Diceros bicornis minor: one gene and its partners. The protein of the gene in region 3 interacts with the protein of the main gene of each other region in a pairwise test. Links are inferred from orthologs where the notes say so. Each region holds a gene or a part of one and is shown on either strand. Other genes may lie near its edges.

Region 1 (7,393 bases), on a different chromosome or scaffold from region 3:
TTCAGACAGCGGGCGGGAGAGGGCCCGGAGGAGAGTGGGCGACGAACGGCGAGGGGGTAGGATTTGGAAGAGGGTGACCCCGAACACCTCTGGCCTTTCCTTGAGTCTCATTTCCTCCAGTGGGCTGCAGGGGTCCCCTCTCCGGCCTCTCCCCCACCCCTCCCGACCTCCCGCCTCTCACATGCTGTCTTGCGTCGCGGCTCTGACTCTGGCGCGGGGGACAGGTCCCCTAGACTCTCGGTATCTCTGCGGCGGGGCTGCTTGGGGAAGGGGTCACAAAGGAAGGGGAAAGCCCCGGCCGGCTGTGGGGGGCGAGGCCCGGGCCCTACCTGCTGGAGTGCCCGACCTGTCCTCGGCGCTTCAAGCTCACTGTTGTGGTCTGGTTACTGCGGAGATAAGGGGCCAATGAGGCCTGAGGACCGCGGCCGGGGAGGGACCAAGGCAGCGCGGAGAGGGCGCGGGAGGGGAGGCTGGGGAGGAGGGGCCGAGGAGGCCGCAAGTGCTGGGTCCCGGGCGCTTTGAACAGACGCGTGGGGGAGCCCTCCAAGGGGCGGGGCTAGGAGGGCTGTAAGGGGCGTGGTCTGCGAGGGGTGGGGCTATGGGGGTCGGAAAGTGGAGGCTAGGAGGGCAATGAAGGGCCGGACAGTGGGGGGCCTGCGAGGGACGTTGCTGGAAGGGCTTGCGAGGTGAGGGGCACGGGTCCCTGTAGGGGGCGGGGCCTGGGGGGGGCCCTGCGAGGGGCGTGGCATGGGAACCTGTAGGAGGCGGGGCTTGGGGGGCCCTGCGAGGGGCGGGGCACGGGTCCCTGTCAGGAGCGGGGCCTGGGGGGCCCTGCGAGGGGCGTGGCATGGGAACCTGTAGGGGGCGGGGCCTGGGGGGGCCCTGCGAGGGGCGTGGCATGGGAACCTGTAGGAGGCGGGGCTTGGGGGGCCCTGAGAGGGGCGGGGCACGGGTCCCTGTCAGGAGCGGGGCCTGGGGGGCCCTGCGAGGGGCGGGGCACGGGGACCTGTAGGGGGCGGGGCTTGGGGGGCCCTAGGAGGGGCGGGGCAGGGGTCCCTGTAGGGGGCGGGGTCGGGGGCCTGCGAGGGGAGGGGCACGGGTCCATGTGGGGGCGGCCTGCTGGGAGCCCTGGGAGGGGAGGGGCACGGGTCCCTGTAGGGGGCGAGACAGCGGGGCCTTGGGAGGGGAGGGGCACAGGTACAAGAGGAGGGTGGGGGCTGTGGGGCTACGGGGGCGTGGTTGGAGGAACACGCGAGGGGTCCGGTGGGAGGGCACAGGAGGGCCGCTGGCTCCCGGGACGTGCGGGGCACGGGGCTCATCAGGAGGCACTCAGGGTCGGAGGGCCTGTGGGAGGTGGGGATGGTCTGTGTGGGGAGCACGGGCCTGTGAGGGGCGGGCTGTGTGTTTCCGGGAGGAGGAGGCAGGAGCTGAGAGAGCCTGTGGAGGCAGGGCTGGGAGGGAAGCGTCTGCAAGGCTCTGGAGCTAGGCCGAAGTCTGTCGGACGCGCCCTGAGAGATGCGTGTCTTAAGCTGATTAAGACCACGCTGAGGATTCATTAGCAGGGAGGCGGTGTGGATGCTGGGAGTTGTGAGGGGGAGGAGCGCTCACCACCACCTCAGGTCCTCACAACGGCTCACTACGCATGCGCAGTCAACGGCCTCCAGGGAAGCCGCCAAAAACCCTTTGCTGTCTGCGGAGTCCGCGCACTGAGGCGGAAGTGGGCGGGGCCTAGGGCGCTTCGCTCCGCCTCTGCCTTCCGGCCACGCCCTGTCTGGCCACACCCCCTCGCTCCGCAGGGCCCGCCCCCCGGGCGGGGGACTGCTCCCCACGTGGGCCTCCCTGCAGCGGGCCGGCAGTGGGCGCCGCTCCCTGCAGCCTGGGTGTGCCTGACGCCTGCGGTTTCCTGTGGGAGGAAGCGGCCCGCGGGCGCTCAGCTCAGCTCGTAGCCTTGGAGGCCCGGGAGGGGGAGATCCTGCCACCGCTCCCGGGTCCCCTGATTCTTCCCCTCCACAGGGCCCTAGCATGGGGGACTCCCGAACATCCCCAGGAGACGCAAGTCTGGCGTTCATTCCACTCGGGGAACTTGATTCAAAGTCCTAGCCTCCTGTCCACCTCCCTCGCTCAAATTTCCGTCTCCCTCTTTTCTGGTTCCCAGGTTCCTCCCAAGACTAGGTCCGGTTCCCTTTGCCTGCACCCCAGGAAGAGCAGAGGACGCTCCAGGCCCTAATTTTTCCCAGTGACCCAGACTTTCTGATTTCCTTGGGGTTCTGAGCTCAGAGCCTCTCTGTCCTCAAAGGCTTAAATTTGAGACTACTTATTTCCCAACCCAGAGACCCTCATTTTGTACTCCCAACCTTTTAGCCTTGGAGCCCAAAGGACCCAAGAATTTGCCCCTTCCCCAAGTCCTAGAGTCCTCGATCTGGGGTCCCCCAGTACTGAATCCACTCAGGGCCCCAATGCCTCCTGTAACTAGCACATACAACAGTGCTGTGCCAGGGGACTACTCTTAGAACCACCCTATGAGGTATTTACTATTTTTAGTCCTATTTTACAAATAAAGAAACTGAGGCCTAGAGAGGTTATTAGTAACTTGCCCAAAATCACAGCTAATGAGTAAAGCAGCTTGGATTTGAATCCAGCCACTGTGTCTCTAAAGTCTGTGCTATACTGTTACCCAGCTTCCAGGTCACTCGAGTACCCACCCAGTCACTGAAGTGCCCATCCCTCACCCCCTCAGGGAGCCCAGATGACCAACCACTCTCCCTCCCCCTAGCTCCGGCCCCATCAGATACCCAGACATCCCATCATCCAGCTCTCTTCCTTTGCAGGAACCCAGGATGTCAGTCCACCAGCTCTCAATTCCACTTCAGGACCCCAGACAACTGGACACCTCACTTTTCACCAGCAGCCAACTCTTCCAAGAGACCCACGTACATAGTAGTCACCCCCCACCCTAATTCAATATCCCAAGAATACATAATAATCATCATCATCATACTTAACATTAAGTCCCCAGTATTGCACTTCTGTTTAAAACCTCCAGTGGCTTCCCACCGCACTTAGAATAAAATCCAGGCTCCTCTAGGCTTCAAGGGCTCTCTTTGATTTCCCTTCCTACCCCTCCCTCTAGCTCCCTATGTTCTAGCCACATTGGCCCTTCTGTCTGCTCCCCAAACAACCTGAGCTTGTTCTCAAAGCCCTTTACACTTCCTCTTCCTCCCAGCATTCAAATGACTCCTGTCTTCAGGTCTCCTTCAGGTCTCGGCTCAGATGTCACCTCCTCAGAGAGGCCTCGCCTGATGACCCTGTTTAAAGTCGCCTCGCCTCATTACCTCCATCACTCTATTTTATTTCCTTCAAAGCACTTAGCACTCTGTGATATTTATCGGCTTCAGTGATATGTTTCCTCTTTATTGTCTGTCTCCCTTAAACTGGAAGGTAGACTCCATAATAACAGAAGGGCTCGCATTTGTTTTCTTCATTATTAACTCCTGGTTCAAAATAGATGTTCAATAAATATTTGATGAAGAAAGGGATGAACGTGTTAGGTGTGTTAGTGTACTGGTATGACCTTATTCATTTAGAATAAGTATCAGAATTATTATCTGTATTAGTATATTGTCAGTATTATTAGTATTATTGTACCCACCTCACAGATTAGGAAACCAGGGCTCAGAGAGGTGAAATAATTGGTGACCCCCAGGCAGAAAACGGTAGCGCTGGGACTCTCAACCTCCACTTCCTGCCGCCTTCCAGAGTTTCACTCTTCCCCATTCCCATCCTCTGACCCCCACTGTGGTGCCAGCTCCACCAGCTCCACCAGCCCCCAGCCCACTGCACACGGCAGGAATCTGACCTCCTCCCCAGACTCCCATCCCTGTGGGTATCCAGTCCTAAGCTCCATCAAGGAAAGCAGACATCCGATCCCAGGATGCGACCCAGAACGGAGGCCTGAGATTCGGGCCCTCCCACCCTCTGACGCTTGCCCCACCCCAGGGCCCCTGGTCCACCCGGCGTGCTCCAAGGACTTCTCAACCCTGGGAGATGAGAAGATGCTTGTCTGGAGGCAACGGGTGGGGGCCCAGAGAAGGAGGAACCAAGTGCCTGGGCCCTCCCTCTGGCTGCAGACCTCAGCTGGGTGGGGTCAGGGTGGGTATAAAAGGGTCGGTATATATTGAGAGGAGCAGAGAAGGAGAAACCAGGAGTGTGACAAGAGAGAGAGGAGGAGGTATAGGCAGTGAGGACAGGAGGGAGAGACAAGAGGCAGAAGGAGAGAGAGAGAGAAAGAGAGAGAAAGGGTTCCCGGATTGGAGGGGAGAAGGAGGGAGAGAGCCAGAGGGGAGAGCGAGCAAGCGAGGGAGGGAGGGAGGGAGGAAGGCGGGGAGGGAGGCGGGGGCCTCGAGAGGGTGGAAGGAGGGAGGAGAAGGGCGGGGCACGGAGGCCAGAGCGAGGGACGAGACTCCAACTCTGACTTTTCTGCTGCTCGGTAAGTTTCCAATCCGTTATTCAGACTGGGATTTCTTTATTTACTTGGAAGTACACAGTTTGGGACGGTCACCCCCAGGCTGGGAGAGACTCCCCGACTCTCCACCCCATGGAAATCTCTGTAATTTAAGAAGTGATCTCGTAGCACTTGGGGTGGGGATTCAGGAAGGGGTGGAGCCCGGCAAGGTTTTGGGGTTCACAGCTCCACCCGAAAACTTCCCGCACTTTTTCCCCCGGCTCTCCACTCTCCCTGAAGTCTGACATCAGGGCTTTGCATGAGAACACCCCAAGTCTGGGGGACCTCCAGGCCCCCCCCTTTCTGGACACTGAAAGGTCATGTGAGGTTGGCTCTTTCTCCTCAGGCTATCTCCTCTCAACACAGATCTTGTCCATTTTCCTTACAAGATGTCCAGAGGGCACCAGTCTGGCAGCAGGGTTGGGTGGGGACCTCGTGGGCACAGCCAGGGGCTGGGGTTTCCCTGGTGCTTGAAGGCAGGGGGTGGGATGAGTCACCGGATGACTCACCCGGTCCCCCTTCCTCCCTGCCCCAGGAGAGGAGTGGGGTGAGTCAAGGATGCCTGTCTCTGAGGGCAGCCCCCAGCTTCTGATGAATCTGGAGGGGTGTCAACTTGAAATTTCATATCATGGCCCATACGTGCCCAGGGACAGGGCTCTGAGAAGAAGGGGACCACCTCACTAGTCCTACTCACTCCTGGACCCCAGAGTCCATCCCTGGCTCTCACCAACCCCCAAGGGAAATTCAGGATTCCAGGACCCCAACCCCTCCTCCCTTAGACCCAGGAATCTGGACCACAGCCTCCTCCTCCCTCAGACCCAAGAGTCTGGACCCCAGCCTCCTCCTCCCTCAGACCCAGGATTCTGGACCCCACCCTCCCCCTAGACCCAGGAATCTGGACCCCAGCCTTCTCTCCCCTCAGACCCTGGAGTCTGGACCCCACCCTCCACCTCCCTCAGACCCAGGAGTCTGGACTCAGCCCCCTTCTCCACCAGCATTCAGGCATCTCACCTGCCCCTGTGCCAACCTCTTGAAATGACTATCTCCTGACGTCCCCCATACCAGGCTTCCACTGCAGCCATGTCGCTCCTCCTGCTGGTGGTCTCTGCCCTTCACATCCTCATCCTCATCCTGCTTTTCGTGGCCACTTTGGACAAGGTAAGCCTACTCGAGCAGAGCAGCAGGGCCTCCCGCTGTCCTGCAGACTGCCACCACACCCCTCCTCTCCTTTCAAGTCACTCTGGCCCTGCCCCTTTTCCCTAGCATCTACCCCTCTGAGCTCTACCTCTGATGCCTCCACTCTGCCCTGTCCCCTAACCCCCCCTTACCTACTAAATCCATGCTTTCCCCCAGTTCAGCTCCTTCCCAGCACCTCACCCTTTTCCTAATCCTTCCTTCAGTCTCCCTGACCCCACCCACTTTCCTTCCCTACTCCTGCCCTTGTTTCTCTGTCCATCCCAGTCCTGGTGGACCCTCCCTGGGAAGGAGTCCCTGAACCTCTGGCACGACTGCACGTGGAACAGTGACAACAAAACCTGGGCCTGCAGTAACGTCAGCGAGAACGGTGAGGGGTGAGGGGTGTCGGGGAGGCTGGTCTGCAAAGGGGAGGGGTAACCCCAGGTCTCCTCCCAGGACCGAGGATTGGGAACCCCCCAAGGTCTGAGTGGGAAGGTCTGGGTCCCAATGCTGAGTGAGTGGAGCTGATGTATGACCAACCCACCTCTCTGGATGATAGGGGGAAAAAAGCTCATGTTCTAAAGAGGATGGGCCAAATGCCCCCCTCCCTCATGATTCAGAAGGAGTGGAGGCCACATGCTATAGGTTTAAGGAATGGGGAGAAAGCTCCCAAGATTGTTAGATGATAGAATTATGTTTCCAGAGTCCTAAGGAGATGGGACTGGTGTTCTGAATGGATGGTTGGGACCAATTTGACCAAGTTCCAAGGAGGTGGGGCTGGAACCACATTAAGGTTCTAAAGGAGTGGGGTTGGATGCATCTGAGTTCTTTAAAGGGGCAGAGCTGCATCCATCGAAATTTCTAAGTGAAAGAAGGTGAAAGATTAAATGCTTTTCTCCTAAGGGCAAAGCAAGAATTTCTACTTTCACACCTCTCTTCAACATTGCACTGGAGGTAGCCAATGCAACAAGGCAAGAAAAAGAAATAAAAGGCATAAAGATGGGAAAGGAAGAAGTAAAAGTCTCTATTCCCAGTGGATATATTTCTGTAGAAAATCCTAAAGAATCTGCAAAGCACCTTCTAGAACTGATAAGGGAGTTTAGCAGTTACGGGAATCAAGGTCAATATACGTGATACTCCTAAGTATCTAAGGTTGTGGGGCTCTACGTGGGAGACGGGTTGGGGGGGCAAATAATGAGCAAGCAGGTGGAGCTGGAACTCTGGACGTGCTGTGACTTCCACCTCTATCTCACTGCAGGCTGGCTGAAGGCGGTGCAGGTCCTCATGGTGCTTTCCCTCATCCTCTGTTGTCTGTCCTTCATCCTGTTCATGTTCCAACTCTACACCATGCGGCGAGGAGGGCTCTTCTATGCCACTGGCCTCTGCCAGCTTTGCACCAGTGAGCACTCTCCCCTAGGGATTGGAGGGAAGGCGGGGGAGGGGGGCTGTCAGGATGCTGGGGGCCCTGGGAATGGACATCTGGCACCTGAGGTGCCTCCATGGGCTACCTTTCTGCCCAAGGGACTTATGGGAGCTGTAGTTTTCAGGGACTCAGTGGTGGTTTGTGGTGTCTCTGAGTCATGGGGGAGCTGGCACTTAGAGCTTCAAGGAGTCAGGGATGGGGTTAGGTGGTGTGGACAAATAATTTAGATCCCAGGGATGGGGGGGGTTGGTAGGTGGCTAACTAATACCCCAAGAGAGAACTCTGAGTCATAA
Region 2 (7,881 bases), on a different chromosome or scaffold from region 3:
ATTCCTTCCTACGGCTGAGTAATACTCCACTGTGTGAATATATCACAGTTTGTCCATTCCTCCGTTGATGGGACACTTCAGCTGTTTCCACCTGTTGGTTATCGTGAACAGTGCTGCTATGAACACGCGTGTACACGTACCTATTCAGGTCCCCGCCTTCAATTCTGTAGGTTATAAACCCAGGTGTGGAATTGCTGGGTCATATGATAATTTTTTTGAGGAACCATCAAACTCTTTTCAACAGCAGAAGAACCATTTTACATTCCCACCACCAATGTATGAGGGCCCCAATTTCTCCACACTCTGGTCTGCACTTGCTATTTTCCAGTTTTTTGATAAGAGTCATCCTAGTTTCATGTGAAAGGGTACCTCATTGTGGTTTTGATTTCATTTTCCTAACGATTAATGTTGATGATCTTTTTGATGTTGAGTTTCTTTTCATGTGCTTATTGGCCATCTGTATATTTTCTTTGGAGAAATGTCTATTCAAGTCCTTTGCCCATTTTCTAACTGGCTTGTTTATCTTTTTGTTGTTGTGTTGTAATAGTCCATAATTTAAAAAAACTCTCCCAGGGTGGCCAGTGCCTCCTCGGGCCCTTCAAGTCTCTGTTCTTTTACACACCAAAGCACATCCCGCTTCCCATGTACAATCTGTGCAGAGGAAAACTTAAAGGAATGGTGTCTGCTTTTTTTCCTGTTCTCCCAGGCATCCCGGGACCCATCCCCAATCTAGAGAGGAAGAAAGAGTTTGGAGGTGACAACTGAGGTGTCCAGCATCTCTCAGGAAGTAGGAGGGAGAAGGTCTGCGTCTGGAGAGCAGGAGCTGAGGGGGAGGAGTAAAAACAACTTCTATGACAGCTGAGAGCAAAGTGGTCTGGGCAAGGGAGAACTATTTCTTGTAGAAGCCTCTACTATTACAGGTCACAAAACCGCCCTGGAGGAGTAAACTTCCACTACTCCATGGCTCTGAGATTTCCCACACCCCTGCTCTCTCCTTTCACTTGGTAGGATGGGTGGGATCCTTCCATCCCCTCCCCCACAGATCACCCTGCCTGGCTGGGCTGTTCCTACCCCCAGGAGCACTCCTTCCCCTAGGCTGGGATGCCAAGAGGAGTCAGCGGGCACTGGGAGGCTGTCCCCTCTGTGAAGCCAGGCCCTCCACACCTGCTGCCACCTGAGCCAGCTCTTGTGAGGGCAGGAGAAGGAGGTGCACCTGAGTCTTTCGCATGAAGCCCTGCTAACGCCCTCTCTCGTGATTCTTGTCACAATGCTCCCTGAACAGCTACAAAGGCAGAGGAAGCCACTCATTAGGGCAACTGAAGAGACACTAGGAAGACTTCTTGTTGCTTCAAAATCTCTCTGCCCCATCACACCTCACCATCAGCCATCATCTCTTTTGGTCATGAAACTCTGCCTTTGTAAATACAGTGGCCTCTGAAGGAACACCCACTACTTACTCCCAGGTCATGCGCACTGTGTGCTCATCTTCAGAAATCAGCCTTGGACAAGCACAGGCCAAATGCTGAATAGATGCACCCAGAGGAGCCATTTGGGGAAAGAATGTTCCAGTGGGTGCAAGACCCTCCCCACTCTGGGCCTGATTGTCCCTATCCAGAAATGGTGGTAGTGGTGTCCAGGGTTTCTTCTAGATGTCACTCCTTGATTCTGGCTAGCCCCAGGACTTAAAGTCACTATGGGTACATGCAGGTGTGAGCTCAACTCAACTCTCACAAATGCAGTGATTTGGTGCCACCCCACAACCTCGGTCCCTTAGCCCTTTCCCCAAACTGTCCATGGATGACAGAACCTGCTCCTTTGCTGTTCACACCCTCCGCCTCCAGTCAGGCCATAAGAAGCTGGAGTCCCTTTTTAAACAGTCAGATTTGGACAAGCTCTTTTCCAGCCAACTCTTCTGTGGGATGCAGGGAAGGGAGGTGCAGGAAAGGAGTCTCCGCAGCTGCAAGGCTCTGCACCCACAGTATACACACAGCACATCCTCTCCCAGCTGAGGGCCTGTGGCCCCTGGGGAGTTTATGCTGAGGGTGGTCTGAAGCGTGGAGACACAGTGAGCACTTTACCAGGAGCCCAGGGTAGGAAGCGCTTTCCCGCTGCCACCTGCACTGCTGTGTGGCTCCAGCCTAAGGAGGGACCAATGTCAGGTATGGAGGCCTTCCCATTTCTCAAGGTCAGCCAAGGCAGAGGACAGCTCTCACCAGCCCCCTCCCTCCCCTCACTCCACACACAGGGTGGAATGACTGTGGTGCAGCAAATGGTGGCCTGTTTTATTATTTTTCCAGATCAAAGTTGTTGCAAATACGTTCTCTCGCCAGAAACTTTCAATGGTCAGAAGAGAATCATCTGGATTCAGCTCCTCCTACACCAACCCAATCCCCAAACCTCGGTTGGTGATGCTCAGGTTTCTTTTGCTGATTTTTGTAAACGAAATCCTAACCCTGGAGAGAGCTGGGCGCCTCTACAAGGACATCGCTCTCCAATAAGGGCTTCCTCTGCGCGGCCCGTGTGAACCGGGTGGGGAGCGCACCTTTGGAACCAGCGTGACGAATGGACCCTGGCCCGCTTCCAACATCTGCCCCATGCTGCGAGTTTGGTTTTTCCGCCTAAGTCCTGGAGACTGTTTCCCCCACTGTAGTTGGTCTAGAAGGGGCCAAACGGCTGGGGTGGGGGGAGACTGTCCTTATCCTGGCCCAGCTATCCCGATGCTCCCGGGACCCCACAACTTGTGGATCTGGTCCAGTCGGCTGTGCGGAGCCCCCGCTACAGCGCGCGGCACAGCCCATCCCGCCCCCGCCCCAGCTCCGGCGCCAGCTACTCACAAACTCAAAGATGAACAGCAAGTCGGGGAAGGTGGTGAAGACAGCGAAGCCGCTGGGCAGGGTGCTGCCACTCGATGCCGCTGTGGGGGCCATGCCGGCGTGCTGGCGTCGGCCTGGGGACAGGACGCGCGGCTCGCCTCCCGGCTGACCTCTCGCTTGCTCGGCGGAGCCCAGTGGCCCCGGCGCCCGCCGGCTTGCGGGTTAAGAGCGGAGGCGCCCGGGGCGCAGGAGGGAGGAGCCCGGGACACCGCCACGCCCCGTCAGAGCTGGCCGTGCGCGCCCCAAGGGACCCGGCCAGAGTGCCTAGGGCGCCGCCCTGAACCACCCTGAGGGCGCCCAGCGGGCGTGCCGGGCTGGAGACGGGGACCTGACTCCTGCGTCCCACCTCCGGGTGCCATCTCCCGTGGGGAGCAGGAAAAAGACACTTTGACGAAGCGTGTCGCACGCTTTGAACTCTTCGCAGGGGATCACCATCCCTTAAAAACGATAACCATCAGTAACTAGGCTCTCCAAACTCCCCACCCTGTCAATCCTCAGGTCACCATTGCTATAGCTATTCTTAGGTTGCGTCTTCATCTTTCCACTGGGTGGGTTAGTATATGTGACGTCCGCATTCAGGCTCACGGTGGGACGAGGTCCTACTTCTGGCCGCAGCTGCAGGCTGGGGTTTGCAGGGGCGGCGTTGAGACCACCTCTGACCACCACCCCTTCTCCCCGCGCCTTTGGAGTCCGGCGCCAGGAACCTTGCACCCGGGGTCCGCTCCACTGCGTGCTGGAGCTTCCAGTTTGTCTGTTTGAGGGTAGGAGGTTTCTCTCGGCCCTGTCAGCCCCAGAGGAGGGGTGGTGGTGGTGCTGGGGCAGATCTGCATGGAAGCCAAGAGACAGGAAGGGCCCTCCTTGAGCAGATCTATGCCCTCTCTCAGAGGGGGCAGCTCTGCGCCTCTGCCGTGCCATGACTCCTCCTCCCCATGTCCTATGACTACCTGTTGCTGCTGGGTTTTTGTTTTCTGGACCACGATTTCTTTATTCTTTTTTTAAAATTATTTTATTGAGGTCATGTTGGCTTATAACATTGCATAATTCCAGATGTACATTATTATGTAACAGTTTCTGTGTAGACTGCATTGTGCTCACCACCAATAGTCTAGTTTTCATCTGTCACCATACATATGTGGCCCTTTACCCTATTCGCCCTCCATTTACCCCTTCCCCTCTGGTAACCACTAATCTGTTCTCCTTATCTATGTGTTTGTTTATCTGCACGTATTAGTGAAGTCGTGCAGTATTTGTCTTTCTCTCTCTGAGTTGTTTCACTTAGCATTATACCCTCAAAGTCCATCCATGTTGTTGATTTTGTCTTTTTTATGGCTGAGTAGTATTCCATTGTGTGTATACACCACATCTTTATCCAATCATCCATTGTCAGGCACTTGGGTTGCTTCCACATCTTGGCTATTGTAAATAATGCTGTGATGAACATACGGGTGCATATATCTTTTTGAATTAGTGTTTTCGTGTTCTTTGGATAAATACCCAGTAGTGGAATAGCTGTATCATATGGTATATCTATTTTTAATTTTTTGAGAAATCTCCATACTGTTTTCCAAAGTGGCTGCACCAGTTTGCAGTCCCACCAGCACTACATAAGGATTCCCTTTTCTCCACATCTGCTCCAACATTTATTTCTTGTCTTGTTAATTATAGCCAATCTCATGGGTGTGAGGTGGTATCTCATTGTAGTTTTGATTTGCATTTTCCTACTAATTAGAGATGTTGAACATCTTTTCATATGCCTGTTGCCCATCTCTATATTTTCTTTGGAAAAATGACTGTTCATATCCTCTGCCTATTTCTTGATCAGGATGTTCATTTTTTTGTTGTTGAGTAGTATGTGTTTTTATATATTTTGGAAATTAACCACTTGTCAGATACACGATTTGCAAATATTTTCTCCCAGTTAGTGTGTTGTCTTTTCATTTTGTGGATTCCTTGCATAAGCTTTTTAGTCTGATGTAGTCCCATTTGTTTATTTTTTCTTTTGTTTCCCCTGCCTGAGTAGACATGGTATTCAAAAAGATACTGCTAAAACTGACGTCAAAGAGTGTACTGCCTATGTTTTCTTCTACGAGTTTTATGATTTCAGGTCTTACATTCAAGTCTTTAATACATTTTGAGTCAATTTTGGTGTATGGTGAAAGATAATGGTCTACTTTCATTCTTTTGCACATGGCTGTCCGGTTTTCACAACACCATTTATTGAAGAGACTTTCCTTTCTCCATTGTATGTTCTTGGCTCCTTTGTTGAATATTAGCTGTCCATAGATTTGTGGTATCACACTCTCGGAATTCAAAATATACTACAAAGCTATAGTAATCAAAACAGCACAGTACTGGCAGAAAAACAGACACACAGATCCATGGAACAAAATTGACAGCTCTTTATTCTTTTTTGACTGTATTTTTAACAAGTATCACACTTTGGTAGTTTGCCTGTTTATTTTAATTTACATACTATTACTGAGTTTTCTCTTACAAGTCCTAAAGCTAAAAATTGGCCCACAGTCCAGTGCCTGCCCCCAGGTCAGACTCCCCAGAACTACTGTGGCTTCACCCACAGCCATAGCGGGGCAACAGCCCCCCTCTCTCCATTGGGACCCTCACCTTTTCCCCTCTACACAGCTCTTTTTCCTTCCCAGTCCCTATGGAGAAAAGTAAATTCCTGGACACATTACCAAAAAAAAAAAAAGATCCATGCCCATGAACTGTCCATTCTGCCCACTTATGGAGAGGGACCAGGCATTTGAAATGAGAAAATCCCACTGCACCTCTGTGAGCCTCTGCGGGGCTGCTGGCCTTGGTGGCCTGAGACCCAGGGAGTCCATCTCCTCCCTCCTCCTGAGGAAACTCTAGTGGGGACGAGCCACAAGCCATGCTCAAGTAAATCCATCCAAAGCTGTTCGGCAATTTCTGTGTCAGTATTCACTAATTAAAACACACAAAGGTCTTCTCACCTCTTAATAATCTCTTCTCCCGGCCTTGAGGTTTTTTGTTGGTTTGTTTGTTTTTTGGTTGGGTTTTCTGCTGTTTCAAACCTGTGTTGCTAAATTCCTCAGGCTGGGCTGTGACTCTGGGGAGAAGGCACAGCCCCCTGGTGTAGCCCATGAAGCTGAGCGGCCCCAACCCTCCTTTGAGAAGGCCTAAGAGGGCACACAGGACTTAGGAAGGTCCCTTTCTCTGTGACCCTCATCTCACCTCAATCCTTTGCTCGATGTTCCTCTTCCTGACCACACTCCACCCTCTGCAGGGCAGCCCCACCCCACCCCACCCGCTTGTCTCCTTCCTGCCATATCACGTCCTCGGTGCCCAGCCAAGACCCCAGCCCACGCACGGTGCTCAGTACATATCATCCACTGCCAGGATGGACCCAGCCTTGTCCGTGCTTGACTGCCTGAGGAGGAAGTGGAATGACTCTGTGTGAACGGAGAGTATTGTCAGTAGAGACGGGTGTGTCTTCATGTCACAGAGCTTCCCCAGGGTGCTCTGGGCCACCAGCTGATGATTTAGGTGGTTCATATGTATAGGGAGACCAGGACCACACTTTGGCTTCCAGCAGGATATGAAAACACAACCTCAGCCGATAGTAACTCATTGCAGTGTCCTCGGTCTTCCTAGCTGCATAGTGGGTGTGACTGTAGGGGTCAGTCTGGGGTGGGTCTGGGGCTTCTGTCAAAATAATAACATGGTCTAGGGTGGGTTTCTACAAAGTAGGAACTAGAAAGCGACATTTGCTGTGCCAGCCTGATACTAGAAGAGGTCATCTCCAGTTTGTGTGTTCAGAGGAGAGAATTGGGTGTGGGACAAGAGATTAAGGGAGAGAGACCTGTTCAGGGAAAGATTCCTGGGGCAGGTCTTGCCAGTAAATAATAGTAGGTGTGATTTATTTTGGGGTCTGTAGAATGACTCCCATTTTACTTATGAGGTGATGGAGGCTCAGAAAGGTTGAGTAGCTGCCGAAGGCCACACGGCTGTGAGTGGTGGAGCTCGGCCTTGACCCTGAGTGATGCTGTGCCCCCAAAGCTGCAAGCGCTTGATTAAGACCATGCTTAATGGAGGGATGATGGATAAGGAAGTCGTGGTATATATATACAGTGGAACATTATTCAGCCATAAGAAATGAGAAAATCCAACCATTCCCAACAACATGGATGGACCTTGAAGACATTATGCGAAGTGAAATAAGTCAGGCAGAGAAAGACAAATACTGTATGATCTCATTTATGTGTAGAATCTAAAGAAACAAAAAACAACCACAAAAAAACCCACCCAACTCATAGAAAAAGAGATCAGACACGTGGTTCCCAGAGCAGGGGGCTGGGGGAGGGGGGATTAGAGGAGAGTGGTTACAAGGTACAAACTTCTGGTTATAAGATGAACAAGGACCAGGGATGTAACGTGCAGCAGGGTGACCACAGTGAACACTGCTGGATGAGACACAGGAAAGTTGTCAAGAGAGAAGATCCTGAGAGCTCTCACCACAAGGAGAAGTTTTTTTTCTTTTCTTTTTATTGTATCTATATGAGATGACAGATGTTCACCAAACCTACTGTGGCAATCATTTCACGTATATGTAAATCAAACCATCATGCTGTACACTTTAAACTAATATAGTGATGCCTGTCAATTATTTCTCAATAAATCTATGAAAGGATTCAAACAATATAAAAATGAAAAAAACATGCTGAAGATGGACAATTGCAATCAAATGGCATGTTCCGTGCAGACCGTCGGCAGCCACCCAAATCCAGTCTTTGTGCTAATCTCAAATGTGGTGCTGGGCACTGGATCCCTGAGGCATCTCTGCCCAGCTGACAGGGCTCTGGACCTTTCCTCTCCTGACTGGGGACACAAGGTCGGAGGTCATCATCCCCATTTATGGACGGGGAAGCTGGGTGAAGGCCCGAGTTCAGAGAGCTACCCTGGGCCAGCGCTGACCCAGAGGGAATGTATTTGTTTAACAATCTCCCGCAGCCCTGGATTTCCACTCCTG
Region 3 (7,370 bases):
AGCAGCTGTTTGTGTTGAAAAACTAAAATATAAAAATATGACCTATGTGGCCAAATCCCACAAGGCTGTTTATTTCCTTATTTATGAATCAGAATCTGTCGGTATAACTTAGAATCTTGACTGTCAGCATATACTGAAATTAAATGTCCCTGCAAAGCCAGCAGAGGGTGCACCAGGGCACTAGAAATTTTACCCAAGGTGTAGCAGTATCAATTTATCTCTAATAGCTGATCAACTTTTCCTTTTTTTTGTTTTTTTGGTATGCTAAAACTAATATCCTCAAGATAAACTTAAGTTGAATCTGGGCTAAAATTTCTTCAAAGCATACTCCAATTCTCCTGAAAGTGAAATTCAGGAAGAATAAGGATACATGGTTAAACTTAGTCTGGCCAAAATGTAGGTAAAGTAGCAGAAAATGATGCAGATCTGAGCCTTCTACTTTGTAAAAATTCTACTATGGAGCTCCACCCTATTCCCTCCAAAAAGGCTCCAGGAGGTAGTATGCTATAGGGGAATGGGCACTGATCTGGGAGTCAAGATATCAACTTCCATTCTAATTTTGACAATAGTTGCATGACCTTGGACAAGTCACTTCCCCCTCAGGGCAAGGGGATCAAACAAAACGGACTCATGTGGCCTCACAATTCTAAAAATTTCTGACTCTAATTGATGTCAACAAACGTAAAGAGCCAGTATGCTTGCGTCTACTGCTCAAAAAAATTAAAACAAAGAATAAAGGATAGACAATAGGGAGCTGTATTTAAACCAAGACAGAACTATTTGAAGTGCCATGCAAAAGACAGGTAACTAAATGCCATTATAGACCTGTGAGAGTCTCACACCATCACAGAAGCCCTAGACTACAATTGTCCTGCTAATCTTCAGTCCATAAACATGGGTCTGTCTATTCTGAATGCCAAAAAGCCTTGGCCATCATTTGACTAAGGAAGCTCAATTCCTTCATCTTTTCACAGAATATTAATGTTCAGCTGCTAAGTATTTCTACTGGGCATTGTTGGGGGAGGAGGGGGTTGATAGATAAAGGGAGCCAGAATCCTAGTTAATTATCATTTAGCTACAGTGTTTAAAGTTTCAAGTATGAGAAGCATGTCTACTGATTCTCTTCTTTGATAGGCTGTTATATAAGTTGGAGTGTGCTAGCAAGACATTTTAAGGCTCAGGGCAACTTTACAATGCACAATGTAGAAAATGTGTGAGTCCTAACATTACAGTATTATCATGAATGTGATAGCAGCTTTGAATGGGTGGTCAAGGTAGCACAAATAATGTTTGCAGAGTATGACAATGATTCTGGATGTGGTAGAAAATATAGAAGGCCTGGGTCCCTGACCTCAAGGAAATTATTTGCACAACATGCCCTCTTCGCCAGGAGGAACAAATTCACTATTATTCTTTAACCACCTCAAAAGGATTCTTAGATGCTTCTCAAGTTTCACATAAGACAAAATATGGCAGTCAAGAGAATACTTATTTTAAGTGCACTAGATTTACTTGAATAAGGAGCTAGAAAAAGTAGAAAACAAGCAGCAAAGCTAATAGTTTGCTAACAAGGGCACAAACATCATAAAGTTTGCAAAAACTGCTCTTGAGAGATTACTCTTGAGTAATTATTCCATCAGTAGATTCCTGGTCTCAAGCTAGCAGTAGCGAAGGCACGTTACACGCCCCCTCCCTACCCACCCCCCAAAAAAGAGTCAGAACTGGCATGCAAAGGGTGAGTTTTATTTCCATAGATTTTTTTAAATTGCTGTTCAGAAGTTGTCTAGCAAGACGGCATATTTCTACCAGAATTCCTCAGGGGCGCTGATCCTCACTAGAACACTGAGGACAACCAGTCTCAAATTGCAGGTAAGTGTGAGCAAGCCCACGTTCTGGTCAGCGCAGAAAGATCCGCGCTGAAAATACGATTAAAAGTTGTTTCAACCGGCGTGGAGCATTTATTACAGCTGTTTACAGCTCCAACACCAAAGGAGAGCCTGCTAGTGCTGGCATCAGCTCTGGGCACGAAAAAACAAGCACCGCGGGCAGAGAATCTCACCAGGAGCAGAAGGGCCAAGTTGCTGCCGTTAGTCCGCCAGAAGGGCAGCGCCGGCACCTCCGCCCCCCGGCCCGGCCGGGAGCGCAGCCAACTTTTCCCGAGGCAGCCTGTAGCCGGGGACGGCGGGCGCAGGCCAGAGTTCCCAAGTCCTGGGGTCCTGAGAGAGTCTGGGTGAGCCGAGCCAGGGGTCGGGGACAACCTGCCCCGGGGCAACCTCTCCCACGCCCGCCTGCCCCCTCCCAGGTCCTACCCTCCAACTTAGCTCGAGGTGGCAGAGTCCTCCCCAGGGCCCTGTGGGGGAGGGCCCCCGCCCTGCCCACAAGGGGAGGGGGCCTCTGCCGCCGCCACCCCTACTAGGTGACTCACCTGGTGCCCGTCCTGGGAGTCTGGGGGGAATGTGGTTTCTCCCGGTTCCAGGGGCTGCTGCTGAGGTGACGGCTGCCCGAAGTGGCGGGTGATGGAACCATCAGGGTCCAGGCCACCGGAGCTGCTGAGGGTCCCAGAGGTGCCAGGGGTGCCGGGGCCGCCAAGGCGGGACTCGGCTCCCCGTTCCCGCCGCAACTCAGAGCGCAACTCCAGGTAGCAGCACAACGTCAGCAGGTGGAGGGCCAGCGAGAGGCCAAAGAAACCCAGGAAGAGCCGGCAGCTGTTCCCTTCGCCCGCCCGGGCAGGGGCCCCGCGACAGCCGCAGCCCTGGCTCCCCCGCTCCCGCGGCGCTGCCGCGGGCAGAGGTTCCCTTCGCTCTACCTCGGGGTAGCCCATGGCCTCCGGAGACGCCCACTCTCTGAGGCCCGGGAGCCGCCGCGTCTGCCTCAGCGGTTCACGACCCCTGACAGGCGGCTACTGTCCTGCCATCGGCTGGGGGCTGCAGGGACCCGTTCCTGCGCTACGGGCGCTGGGCGGGACGGAGCAGGGAGCAGCCGCATGTGCAGCTCCACTTCGAGGGGTGGGAAAGGGAGGAGGACGGGCGGGAGAGACGGGCGGCTGGCCCTCGGAGAGAATGAGGGAGGAGGCCCGGGCCGACCCGCCCCATCCCTCAAGCGGCTGCCGGGACACCCAACCACCGGGCCCGCCAAGCCTCGGCGCCCCGCCCCCGGCCGTTCCACCCAGGGCCTCCAGCCGCGGGGCGGGACCTGGGGGCGTGTGGGTTCGCCTCTGCCTGGCGGCCCCACCCAGCTCTTCCCGCTTGCCCGGTTCCAGTTGGTGACTGCCGCTGTCGTTCATCCCTGGACTCCGCCCCAATTTAACCCTGTAGCGCCAGTACAGGGGAGAGGGAAGAGAGGGAGGCTGAGAAGAATTTGGGAACCTTGGAGAGAAAGTAGAGCAAAGAAAAGGAGGCAGAAACTAGTATTAATAGAAATGTTTGCAATTAACTGCAGTTGTTAATAACATCATCCAGTACTTATCTGTTGCTTTCAATCTTCAAAGCATTTAACAGACGTTAAACTAATTAAAACAGCTCTGGGTTTGGAATGAAACCATGCCTGCTGTGTTTGCAATCCAATGGCGTGGCAAAAGAAAGAGAGACCCAGGAGCCTGAGAGCCAAAGGGAGTGAGAATGGGGTGGGACTGAGGCAGCCCCACTCTTACAGTGAGTCTGGGGCCTCAATCTAAGTGACGGAGAAACCCACCTGTGTCAGGTGGGAGTGAAGTGATGTTGCCCCACCCGGGGTAAAACAATCCACTAGGATTTCTTGATATATTAATTAATTCAACAAATATGTATTGATCTCTTTGCAATGCAGAAACTGCTGTATGAGAGAATCCACAGCCAGTATAGTTTCTCTTCTTCCACCGCGGCAGGATTTTTGAGTGGAGAACACGTGCCTTCAATAAGAAAATGGGGAAACCGAGGACCAGAATGAGGTGGATTTTTACAAGGGTGGTCCACAGAATGGCCAGACAATATCGGCATCTCTATTTGCAGGCAACTGTTCTGGCCTCTCCACACCCCCCTCCTCTCCCTGGAGTAGTCCCTGGGGGAAGTTCAACAAGTCAGCCAAATGTTCCAGATGTACACTGCTTCAACTGCAGCATCTTCAACAGCTGCACCAATCAGAAAAGGGTTCACAGCAAAAAACAACAAAAAAAGTGGAAAATGTCAGAACAATAGACCCTGAAATGAAGGATGGAAAGGATTAATTGAGTCACAATTGACAAGACTCACTAGTCTGAGATTATAGAGAACTGAATGACCATAGCAGGAGAAGTATGTATGCTTCTTTGTCACCATGCACTCTCATTCCCATGTTATGAATAATTAGCAGTTTTTTTGACTTGAAATGGCTAGGCCTAAGACCTAGACTGGTGGGAAAGAAGAAAAATAGGGAGAAATGGAAAAGAAAACAAAAGAAGAGAAACAACAAAACAAAAACAAAGCATATGGTAGAGCCGTCAGTCCAGAGTGCAGAGAGGTCATAAACCTTAAATATATTAGCCACAGCCAACTTTTCTTCCAGACACTTTGTGAAGGGTCTCAGTGCTTCAGAAACGTCTTTGTGTCCCCTCGTTGGCCCTTACCCATGAAATATAAAGTTTGCAAAGAATATTATCATCATGCAGATAAGAAAATAAAAAAGGGCGCTTAACAGCTAATCTCAAATCCTGCTTGTTCAGTCTAGAAATTCTAGACTGGCTCTCTCTGGGTCACTCTGAGCAAGTCACTGTGCTTTTTGAGACCTTAGTTTCTCCAACTGTAAAATGACGAATTTGAACTTGAACAGCTATAACATTGTGTTTTATCTGTGTTATCACTGGCTGTGTTGACTTGGTTACATACACAGTTCAAAAAAGCTGTCCCTTCTTCCCCTAAAGTGAAAAGGGAACAAGTAACAGCCATCTCCTGGTAGTGGAGGTGGTGCTCAGGGGCCTTACTGGTCTCAGCTTACCATGTTTCACCAGCCTTTCACCAGGATGACTGAGACTCTGAGTTGCACCATTGCCCTCAGAAGCCCTGCAAGTTGCATTTGACCTGGGACCTCACTTTGGTTCCCTGGAGGAAGAACATATGACTTCATATGCAGTAGAAATGTTGGAATGCGGCAATCCGGTGAGGAATGTATGTAGTTATTTTTTAAAAGTGTTTGAAGTGTTACTTCAGTTAGCTTCTATGCTTCCATAAGTACTCCATCCCCTACAGCACAGATATCAAAATGACAGTCTGCAGGCCACATTCAGCAAATGGAGGTGTTGTGTTTGGTGCAATGTTGGCTAAAACTTTGAATTAAAAAAAATACTTGCCAGCATTTAGAAATTAGGAGGTTTCACATTAAAAATCCAGATTTTCTGGGGCCGGCCCAGTGGCCTAATGATTAAGTTCGTGCGTGCTGCTTCAGCAGCCTGGGGTTCACAGGTTCAGATTCCAGGCGAGGACCTATGCACTGCTTATCAAGCCATCCATGCTGTGGTGGCATCCCACATATAAAATAGAGGAAGATGGGCATGGATGTTAGCCCAGGGCCAATCTTCCTCAGCAAAAAGAGGAGGATTGGCAACAGATGTTAGCTCAGGGCTAATCTTCCTCACTAAAAAAAAAAAAAAAATCCAGATTTCCTGCTGCTCTATTAAAAAATAAGAAAACCTGCCAACACTGGATCCACATTCCCATATGGCTACAGTCAGCTAGAACTGCCCCCTTGAAACAAGTGTGAGCAAGTTCTGCACAATCATCCCCATCTGCTTCCTCTAGTCTCCATTACTGTCCTTGTCACTCATTTACCTTATCTGTCTGGCCCCGAGCACTCTAGGAGACAAAATATCAGCTCCTTAGCATGACCTATAATCTGCCTGGCCAACCTCATCTTCTGCTGTCCTACAAGGAACCCATGCTACCACAATACTAAATTTGTTGACACTTCTAACACTTCTGTGTCTTTGCACAAACCGATTTCTTTGCCAGGAATGCCCTCACCTGGGAAACCTGATAAATTCTTCAAGAATCAAATCATGTGTTTTCTTGATGCGGCCCCACAACTCACTCCAAACAGGTTTTCCTTTATGCTTTCACTGCACCCTGAGCATATCTCAATGATATCACTTACTGCATTGTGTTTTTATTTTTTCACATGCTTTCTCACCACTAAACTGTGAGTTCCTTGATGGTAAAAACCATGTCCTTTCCATTTTGGCAGTCCTAGTACCTAGCATAGCAGCTACCACATAGTGGGCACCAGTATTGTTTGTCAAATGAATGGGGCATGAAGTCTGAGATGGTTAACTTAGACTACCTAGAATTCCAAAAAGGGAACTGGGCCAAGCGGATGCCTGTCACTTCCACTTATGAAGCACCTACTGTGTGCAGAGCTGTATAACACATTATGGAAAGATATCAAGGAAATTGAACCAAACGGCAACTGTGCAATTATCCTCTTATTTGTCCTACTGTTGGAGTTGTGGAAAATCCAGAAAAGTAAATAATCCAGAAATTCAAATATAATTGGTTTGTAGTACTTCACTGGTTTTCTGGCCTATAAAATTTCCCTTCCTGATTTTGTATGTGTGGGCCTAATATTAAAGCAATATTAGTTGACAATACCTGAATAATAAATATTCAAAATGAGTTGACAACTTCTGGCAGAATATGATAAGGAGTTGGGCAGGGACTGGTTTAAAATACCTCTTAGCTCTGGTTAATCCACAGAACAAATCATAGATATCAGAGAGTTGACTCTCTGACCCACTTAGGGATAAGCAGATAGATAGTCAAGAGGAACATGGGCTTAGAACTTGGATCCTGGTTTGAATCCCAGCGTATTCACTTGCCAGCTGTGTGACCTAGGACAAGTAGTTTTTGCCTGTCTTTCAGAGCCTCAGTTTTCTCATCTGTGTAATGGAAATGACAACATATGCTTTGTAAGAAAGCTGTGCTTAAATGAGATGCTATATATCAAAGTGTCTGGCACAGCAGAGTAAATGTTAGTCTTTGCCGTCTAAGAGACTTCCATCAAAAGGAGATGATGACCGGGCAAGAGAAACAATAGAAAAAATAAACAAATGGGACTACATCGAACTAAAAAGCTTCTGCACAGCAAAGGAAACCATCAACAAAACGAAAAGACAACCTAACAATTGGGAGAAGATATTTGCAAAGCATACATCTGATAAAGGGTTAATCTCCAAAATATATAAAGAACTCATGCATCTCAACAACAAAAAAACTAACAACCCAATTAAAAAATGGGAAAAAGACCTGAACAGACATTTCTCCAAACAAGATACACAGATGGCCAACAGAAACATGAAAAGATGTTCAAAATCATTAATTATCAGGGAAATGCAAATCAAAACTACAATGAGATATCACCTCATGCCT
Region 4 (7,638 bases), on a different chromosome or scaffold from region 3:
AGAAAACTCATAGGGAATCTTAATACTGGCCTGTATATCCTTTCCCCAATGGCAACAGCCAGAGGAAAAAGCCCAAACTAGAATCTAGGTAGGTCTGAGTAAACATTTATCTAAAGGCTGAGGAAAATAAACTCCCACAATGCCTAACTACTATAGCAGTGGTTAGCAACCTTTTAGACCCAAAACTAGATACTGACCTCTCTTCTTCAGAACCTTGTGGGGTAATGACCGTGAGCCCAAAGTACCAGGAAGGCACTCTCTCAAAAAGTAATAAACAAAACTCAACATACAAGTATCTTTTATATCTACTTTCCAGCAAGAGGCTTTCATAAATGCCTCTTTCAAGATAAAAACATTTCATATTGGGTTAATCACCTATATTTATTTTAGTTCATTATTTCCCAAACTTCAGCCATCCAAGTACCATTTTCAGAATTCTTACCACATCTGCATCCCACCTGTACTATTATTTACCTAATATAGGTCTTTCAGTTGACTTATTTTTTTGCCTTATCCTTAGCAACAGTATCTGTGAAATCAGTTTTGAGGTGTTAAGTTGTCCTCTTCATTTAAATTAAAACAAATAGAAGACTTTTTTTGTTTCTTTCAAATGTGTATATGTGAAAATTTTTGGAGAATCTTTTTTTTAAATGTTCATCTGCTCATCATTCAAATTGTCTTGCATATCTGATGGTACCAAAGTTTGGGAAACACTATCTTGGTATGTATCACTTTATTAAAAGTGCCAGCTGAGATCTGTGGGAACTGGGAACGGGGGCGAGTATTTGAGGAGAAAGCTATACTAACTGTGATGCAAGAATGAGTGAAAGGGAAGACGTTACACAGCACAGGTTAGCAAGAAGGCACTTTGGAGACAGCACCAGTACCAAGGACAGCCAGAGTTTATTCTGCAGCTTTGCCTGGGCCCCCACCTCACCAGCAGCCTTTGATAGTCCTATTACAGGTGCTTGTACTGCACAGTCTGTGTAAGACCTCAGGCTCCAGAGTAGATTATACCCACATCTACGAACAGGGCCCCCAACACATGCACAAATGTGTCTCACCCCAACGTGTGTGCAGCACCTCATAGTCTACAAACAGTGAGGTAGCTATAACCTCCATTTTACAGATGAGAAAACTGAGGCCCCCTTTTTCAATATCACCCTGCTAATATACAGCAGAACTGGTGCTTAAACCTAAGCCTCTTGTATCTCTACATCACTGGGCTATATCAGTCTCCTAAAACCAACAAGGGGCAAGAACTCAGTGATACAGAAACTATCTAGCTACGCATTTTGAAATAATGATAAAAGATCAGCTTACATTTTCTTTAAGAGGCAGTATAGTATAGTAGTTAATAGGATGGATTCTGGAGCCAGATTGCCTGGGCTCAAAAACTGGCTCCATGAGGTACTGTGTAAGCTTGGGCAAGCTTTGCCTTTCTAAACTCAATTTCCTCACGGGTAAAATGTGGCTACTAACAGTATCTACCTCATAGGGACATGTAAAGAACCTGAAACACTGCCTAGCAGACTAAAAGTGCAATATTAAGTGTTTGCTGCTATTATTATTTATTGACTGCCCTCTATTTACCAGGCAATTTATACACATTAACCTCACTTAAGCCTTCCAATAAATAACCTGTGAGGTAGGTATTATCAGTCCTATTATACCTTTGAAGAAATTCAAGCTCAGAAAGGTTAAGCAATTTATTCAAACCCTAAACTAGCAAGTGGCAGATTTAAACTCAGGCCTAACTCTACCCACTCAAAGAGAACATTGCCTCTCAATATATCCAAGCTTCTTATTCAACTACATAGAGAGGAAGGTCACAGGCACCCCCTTCATAAGACCTGGGCTTCTTTCATACACCAATATAAAATATACTTAGATTTTTAAAAGTCGGTCATACACAAAAAAAAGCGCGCTAAACTGATATTACGGTTCTCAACATAGTAAATGCCCAGATGTCCCATTAACTTACGACAAGGTCACAGATGTCAGACTCAAATACTGACCTACAACTTTCATATCCCAGAAATTGTAGATACTGTTTAAGGTACTGCCTAATTCCTTATAATCTCAGCTCTGAGCAAATGCCAGTACCGCGGAATGGGATTCAGAGAGTTTTTAAAAGTGGCTGTTCCAGCTGTTAGCGGGGATCCCAACATCTCCCTCAGGGGCCTGACACTATAGCCCCGGGCTTTGCCTCGGCTGGACAGGCATGGGAGGGGCCGGTTCTCAAGTTCCCCAACTAAGGAGCAGGAGACAAGTCCAAAGCTGTTTCCACTGGCAGAGACTCAAGCTGGCTGGGGTTCGGTCTCCTATTTCGGAGCCATCTTCCACCTTTCAAGCCAATTGCTCAGGTCTCCTTTACGCCACATCGTTCCCCAAGTGCCATTAACAGGGCCTCAAGAGGTTCCGTGAGCCAACGCGGCCAAACCTCGGCTCCATGCCCGTTCCATCCCTACAAAACGCAAAGCCAACCACTGGTTCAAATCCCACCCTGCTGAAAAGAAATAGGAAATGCCACGTCAAACTCTCTGGGCCACCTAAGCAGCCCAGGTGGTCACCGTGTTTCTGACACCCGGGGCCAGGGAACGGCCCCCACCGCTGGCAGCCCAGAGTGACTGTCCCTCCCCCTCAGGCCCCCTGCCGGGCTGCCCCCTACCCAGGGCAGGTCAGCCGAGGAGCAACCGCCGCCCGCGCGGCCCCCACAGGCCGCTCACGACGGAGGTGACGAGGTCCCCGCAACCCTGCCCCTCCAGGGCTCCGCGGCTCCAACCACACCCGGCTCCCGCCCCCACGGCACGGGCTTGGCTCCTGCCCGGGGTGGGTCTGTAGTCGCGAGGGCGAGCGCCGGGGCCGTGGCAGGAGGCAGGAGACCGAGAGGAGCGGCCGGCCACGGTTCGAGCGACCCTGAGAAGCGAGGAACGAGGACTGGGAGGGGCAGAGCCGTACCTGTCGAGCCGGGACCCGCCGCTCCGGGTGACGCGGCCCGCGCTGCATTGTGGGCCCGGGGAGTGGCCTTTCCGCGGGGCAGCCCCGCGTCCAACGTGGCTGGCGCCCGGCGGAACCAAGCCCCGCCCACGTCCCTCGGCTCGCCCAGGCCAATCAGGTTCTGTGGGAAGCACACACTGCCACGCCCCCTCCCCGCGCCCGAGGTAGTCCCGCCCCCTGCAGGAGACAAGAGCAGCCTCTCAGGGCACCTGCGTCAAGAGATTGCAAAATCCTCTGGTGACAGTCTCTGTGCTTTGCCTCAGAAATAAGGCTAAACTCTGCCGCCTGCCACCAGTATCTGGAGGCAGTTTGTCTCACACGCGGCCCTACAGCAAACACTTATCCAGGGAGCAGGGGGCAAAAGCCCCCTTTGAGTGAGCAAGAAAAGGACCTGCCCCATCTACCACCCCACGCAAGGAGGCACCTGACCTTGGCAGAGAAGTGCCAGATGCTGGCCCTGCAGCCCCTTCCAGCCTTTGCATTAGTCATGCATTATTAAACAAGCACTTACTGTCTACCATGTGCCGAGCACCGGGTTAGGCATTGGGTTACAGGGGGTGAACATAACACTGGGTGGAATCTAAGGCATACTAGGAGCAAGAGACATTAAAGCATAAATCATTACATAATTAAAAATTGTGATCAGGACTATGAAGGAAAATTAAAGGGTGCGATGATGGATTAATTCTGGACTATCAAGGAAGAACTCTTTGAAGAAGTGCCTTTTAAGCTCCAGGCATATGAAAAAGCCTTAAAGAATGTTCCAGGCCAAGAGAGCATTATGTGTGAGGTTACTGGGGCATGAGAAAACTTGGTGTGTTCTAGGAATTGAAAGAAAACCAGTGTGGTTGGAGTTCAGGGAGCAAACTTGGGCTGAGATGAGGCAGAGGCCAGACCATGCAGACTATTATTGGCCACATTATAGATTTTAGACTATTTTACAATGTATCCTAAGGTCAAGGGGCAGCTAATAGAGGGTGTTAAGTAGGATCTAATTTACATATTTAAAAGCTCACCAGGCTGTTTGTGGGAATAGTTTGGAAGAGGGCAGGAGGGGTTGCTGGAAGGCCAATTTGGAGGCAGTTGTATTAGTCAAGGCCAGAGATGATGGTGGCTTGAGTTAGGGTAATGGCACCAGAAACAGAAAAAGTTGGATAATTTTGAGACATTTATAAATTGGAGGTGGAATTCAAGGGACTTAATAATGGATTGGCTTTCCAGGAAGGGTAAAGAAAAGAAGAGCATTAAGAATGACTCCTTAAGAAACTAGATGGATTAAGAAGCCATTTACTGATTCAGGGAACGTAGAAGGAGGAGCAAATGTTTTTAGACATGTTAAATTTGAGATACTTATAAATGGAAATGTCAAACAGATTTGCATATGTAAGTCTGGAGTTCACAAGAAAGGTTTGGACTAATTATATAAATGTGATGGTTGTTGGAGTGGGTTAACTCTTAGGTATAGCCACAACAGAAATGTATTCATATGTTCACCAAAAGACTCTTAGAAATTCCACTCTTAGGTATAGCCACAACAGAAATGTATTCATATGTTCACCAAAAGACATATATAAGAATGTTCACAGGATGAATAAATTTTAGAATATTCACATAGTGGAATAATATACAGGAAAGTGAATGAACAGTCTACAACTACACATAGAACGTGGATGAATCTCACAGTCATAAAACTGAGTAAAAGTCAGATACAAAAATTGTATACTACATGATTCCATTTATATAATGTTCAAAAACAGACAAAAATAATTATGGTAATAGACACCAGGATATTGGCTACCCTTAGGTATTAACGTTTGGAAAGGGGCACTAGGGGTCTTCTTAAGAATGTTCTCCTTGATCTGAGTGTTGGTTACACCAGTGTGTTAAATTAATAAAAATTCATCAAGCTGTACACTTAAGGTTTATGCAATTTTTCAGTATGTATTTTATTAAACAATAGAAAGTTTACATTTTATGGGCCGGCCCCATGGCTTAGCGGTTAACTGCATGCACTCTGCTACTGGCGGCCCGGGTTCAGATCCCGGGCGCACACTGAGGCACCGCTTCTCCGGCCATGCTGAGGCCGCGTCCCACATACAGCAACTAGAAGGATGTGCAACTATGACATACAACTATCTACGGGGGCTTTGGGGGGGGGATAAAAAAGGAGGAGGATTGGCAATAGATGTTAGCTCAGAGCCGATCTTCCTCAGCAAAAAGAGGAGGATTAGCATGGATGTTAGCTCAGGGCTGATCTTCCTCACAAAAAAAAAAAAAAAGAAAGTTTACATTTTAAAAATGTTAAAGGTGATCCAGCCATGAATAAGTAACTGGTACCAGACTAACCTTCCCAAAACAAACAGTGGAAAACTGGACCAAATCTATGAAACAAGTGTTTCCAGACATTGGACAACAGGCACAGTAAAACTGTGATCCTGGAGAGAAGGAAAACAAACAATATGAGCCCAAAGAGTTCCCCAGATTTCCTTCTGTAGGTATTTACCTAACCACAGGATGGAAGAAAGCCAAGCAGAATACAGTACTCTTACTAACTGAGGATATAGAAATTAGAATTAGGAAAGATTGGGCAACTAAAATTTGCAAGGCAGAGTACCAGGGAAAGAGCTTTCCAAATATGCACCAGGGGCTTCTTGAATCTTTGGTGTAGGTTTAAGGATAGACTCCATGAGGCTGGTTAAATAACAACTACTAGAGAAAGAAAATTACTGGGGAACTGTAAGCTGAACAACTACTAGAGTGTGAATAGAGTTTGGAAACATCCAAGTTCTGATGAATTGGAATAGAGAAACTTTATTAGACACCTGGGGTATTTGGTAGAGAGACCTCAGAAAGGCCACACTTTAGAAATAAGGCTGAACTAGCCCAAGAGTGAAGGCTATTCTAGACCCAACCAAACCAAGCTGAACAAGCTGATCTGCAAGCAAATTAACTGCTTGCTTGAATGAAACTCAACAGTCTTTAGAGAAAGACAATAAAATCCAGGCACTAAAACATCTAGCACCCACAATGTCCAGTATCCAATAAAAATTACTATACATTGAAGAAGCAGGAAAATGTGAACCATAAGCAGGAGAACAGTCAGTCAATAGAAATAGACCCAGAAATGACACAGATGATGAAATTAACAGATAAGGATTTTAAAGCAGCTATTATAAGTATGACCAAGAATTTAAAGGAAAACATAAATATAATAAGAGAAATGGAAACTATAAAAGAACCAAATTGAACTAATAGAGCAGAAAAATACAATAATCTGAAGCAAAAATTTTATTGGATGGGCTTAAAAGCAGTTTAGACACTGCAGAAGAAAAGATTCATGGACAAGAAAACAGTGCAAAAGAATTATCTACACCAAAGCACAAAGAGAAGAAAAGTTGAAAAGAACGTGAACAGAACTTTGGTGACCTGTGGGGCAATACCACGTCATCTAAAACATGTGTAATCAGAGACCCAGAAAGAGAGGAGAGGAGTTAAAAATATTTGAAGAAATCATGGCCAAAATTTTTCTAAATTTAAAAAGAAATATAAACTGCAGATTGAAAAGAGCAAACAAACCCCAAACAGGATAAACACAAAGAAAGCCACACCAAGACACATTACACTCAAACTGCTGAAAACCAATAATTGAAAGAAAATATTAGAAACAACCAGATAAAAAGCCACATTGTATGTAGGGAACAAAAACAGGAAGTACTACCAACTTCACATCAGGAAGAATGCAAGCCTGGAGATAATGGAATAAAATCTTTAAAGTCCTAAAAGAAAAAGCCCTGTCAATCTAGAATTTTATATCCAGCAAAAATTCTTTCAAAAAGTGGAGGTGAAATAAAGGCATTTTCAGACAAACAAGAGATGAGACAATTTGTTACTAGCATACCTGAATTATAATAAATGCTAAAGAAAGTTCTTCAGATTAAACACACATGATTCCAAATGGAAATCTGAATTCACACAAATGGAACAAAAAGTGTGAGAAATGGTAAATATGTAAGTTAATATAAAGATTTTTCCTTCTTTTTAAAATTTCTCTAAAATATAATTAACCATTTAAATAAAAAATAGTAAAAATGTTCTGTGAGGTTTATGACAAATGAAGAAGTAAAATACACGTTAACAATATAAAGGAAAGGTGACTGGATACATATGTTATAAGGTTCTTACATCATACTTGAAGTGGTATAATTTGACGGTATATTGTGATAAGTTAAAAATATATATCATAGGAGGAATGACTAAAAGAAAAAAAAAAGGTATCCAAAAGCTAATAAGTCAATAGGAAAATTAAAATTAGAATACTATAAAATACTCAATCCAAAAGCAGGCAAGAAAAAATGGAACAAAGAACAGATAAGCAAATAAAAACAAAATAGCCAATATGATAGATTTAAACCCAATCATATTGATAATTACATTAAATGTAAATAGTCTAAATCTTGGAATTAAAAGGCAAAGATTGTCCTAGGGAATTAAATAAAAAGGGCCAATTATATGCTATCTACAAGAAACCCACTTCAAATATAAAGACACAGGTCAGTTAAAAATAAAAGAATGGAAAAAGAAAAACCCAATCACTAATCAAAAGAAAGATGAAGTAATTTTATTAATATCAGACAAAGT

What was found.
Region 1: the proteins of EDA (region 3) and EMP3 interact in binary tests that used the Homo sapiens proteins (3 or more experiments, as listed by UniProt). The two-hybrid records come from large-scale screens. The link is inferred for Diceros bicornis minor from reciprocal best matches to the Homo sapiens genes EDA and EMP3.
Region 2: the proteins of EDA (region 3) and myelin and lymphocyte protein interact in binary tests that used the Homo sapiens proteins (3 or more experiments, as listed by UniProt). The two-hybrid records come from large-scale screens. The link is inferred for Diceros bicornis minor from reciprocal best matches to the Homo sapiens genes EDA and MAL.
Region 4: the proteins of EDA (region 3) and SEC22A interact in binary tests that used the Homo sapiens proteins (3 or more experiments, as listed by UniProt). The two-hybrid records come from large-scale screens. The link is inferred for Diceros bicornis minor from reciprocal best matches to the Homo sapiens genes EDA and SEC22A.

Annotation. Positions count from the first base shown.
Region 1 is NC_080773.1:24,036,789-24,044,181, forward strand, and holds the start of EMP3 (epithelial membrane protein 3), read left to right. Parts: upstream 1-4,380; 5' UTR 4,381-4,486; intron 4,487-5,566; 5' UTR 5,567-5,581; coding exon 5,582-5,659; intron 5,660-5,962; coding exon 5,963-6,065; intron 6,066-6,935; coding exon 6,936-7,076; intron 7,077-7,393. UniProt on the Homo sapiens protein: Probably involved in cell proliferation and cell-cell interactions.
Region 2 is NC_080779.1:17,291,588-17,299,468, reverse strand, and holds the start of myelin and lymphocyte protein, read right to left. Parts: upstream 3,003-7,881; 5' UTR 2,928-3,002; coding exon 2,835-2,927; intron 1-2,834. UniProt on the Homo sapiens protein: May be involved in vesicular trafficking from the Golgi apparatus to the cell membrane. Plays a role in the maintenance of the myelin sheath, and in axon-glia and glia-glia interactions.
Region 3 is NC_080781.1:63,071,347-63,078,716, reverse strand, and holds the start of EDA (ectodysplasin-A), read right to left. Parts: upstream 3,013-7,370; 5' UTR 2,822-3,012; coding exon 2,426-2,821; intron 2,217-2,425; coding exon of another isoform or gene 2,088-2,216; exon of another isoform or gene 1,707-2,087; intron 1-1,706. UniProt on the Homo sapiens protein: Cytokine which is involved in epithelial-mesenchymal signaling during morphogenesis of ectodermal organs. Functions as a ligand activating the DEATH-domain containing receptors EDAR and EDA2R. May also play a role in cell adhesion.
Region 4 is NC_080754.1:24,275,157-24,282,794, reverse strand, and holds the start of SEC22A (vesicle-trafficking protein SEC22a), read right to left. Parts: upstream 3,004-7,638; 5' UTR 2,962-3,003; intron 2,920-2,961; exon of another isoform or gene 2,672-2,919; intron 329-2,671; exon of another isoform or gene 1-328. UniProt on the Homo sapiens protein: May be involved in vesicle transport between the ER and the Golgi complex.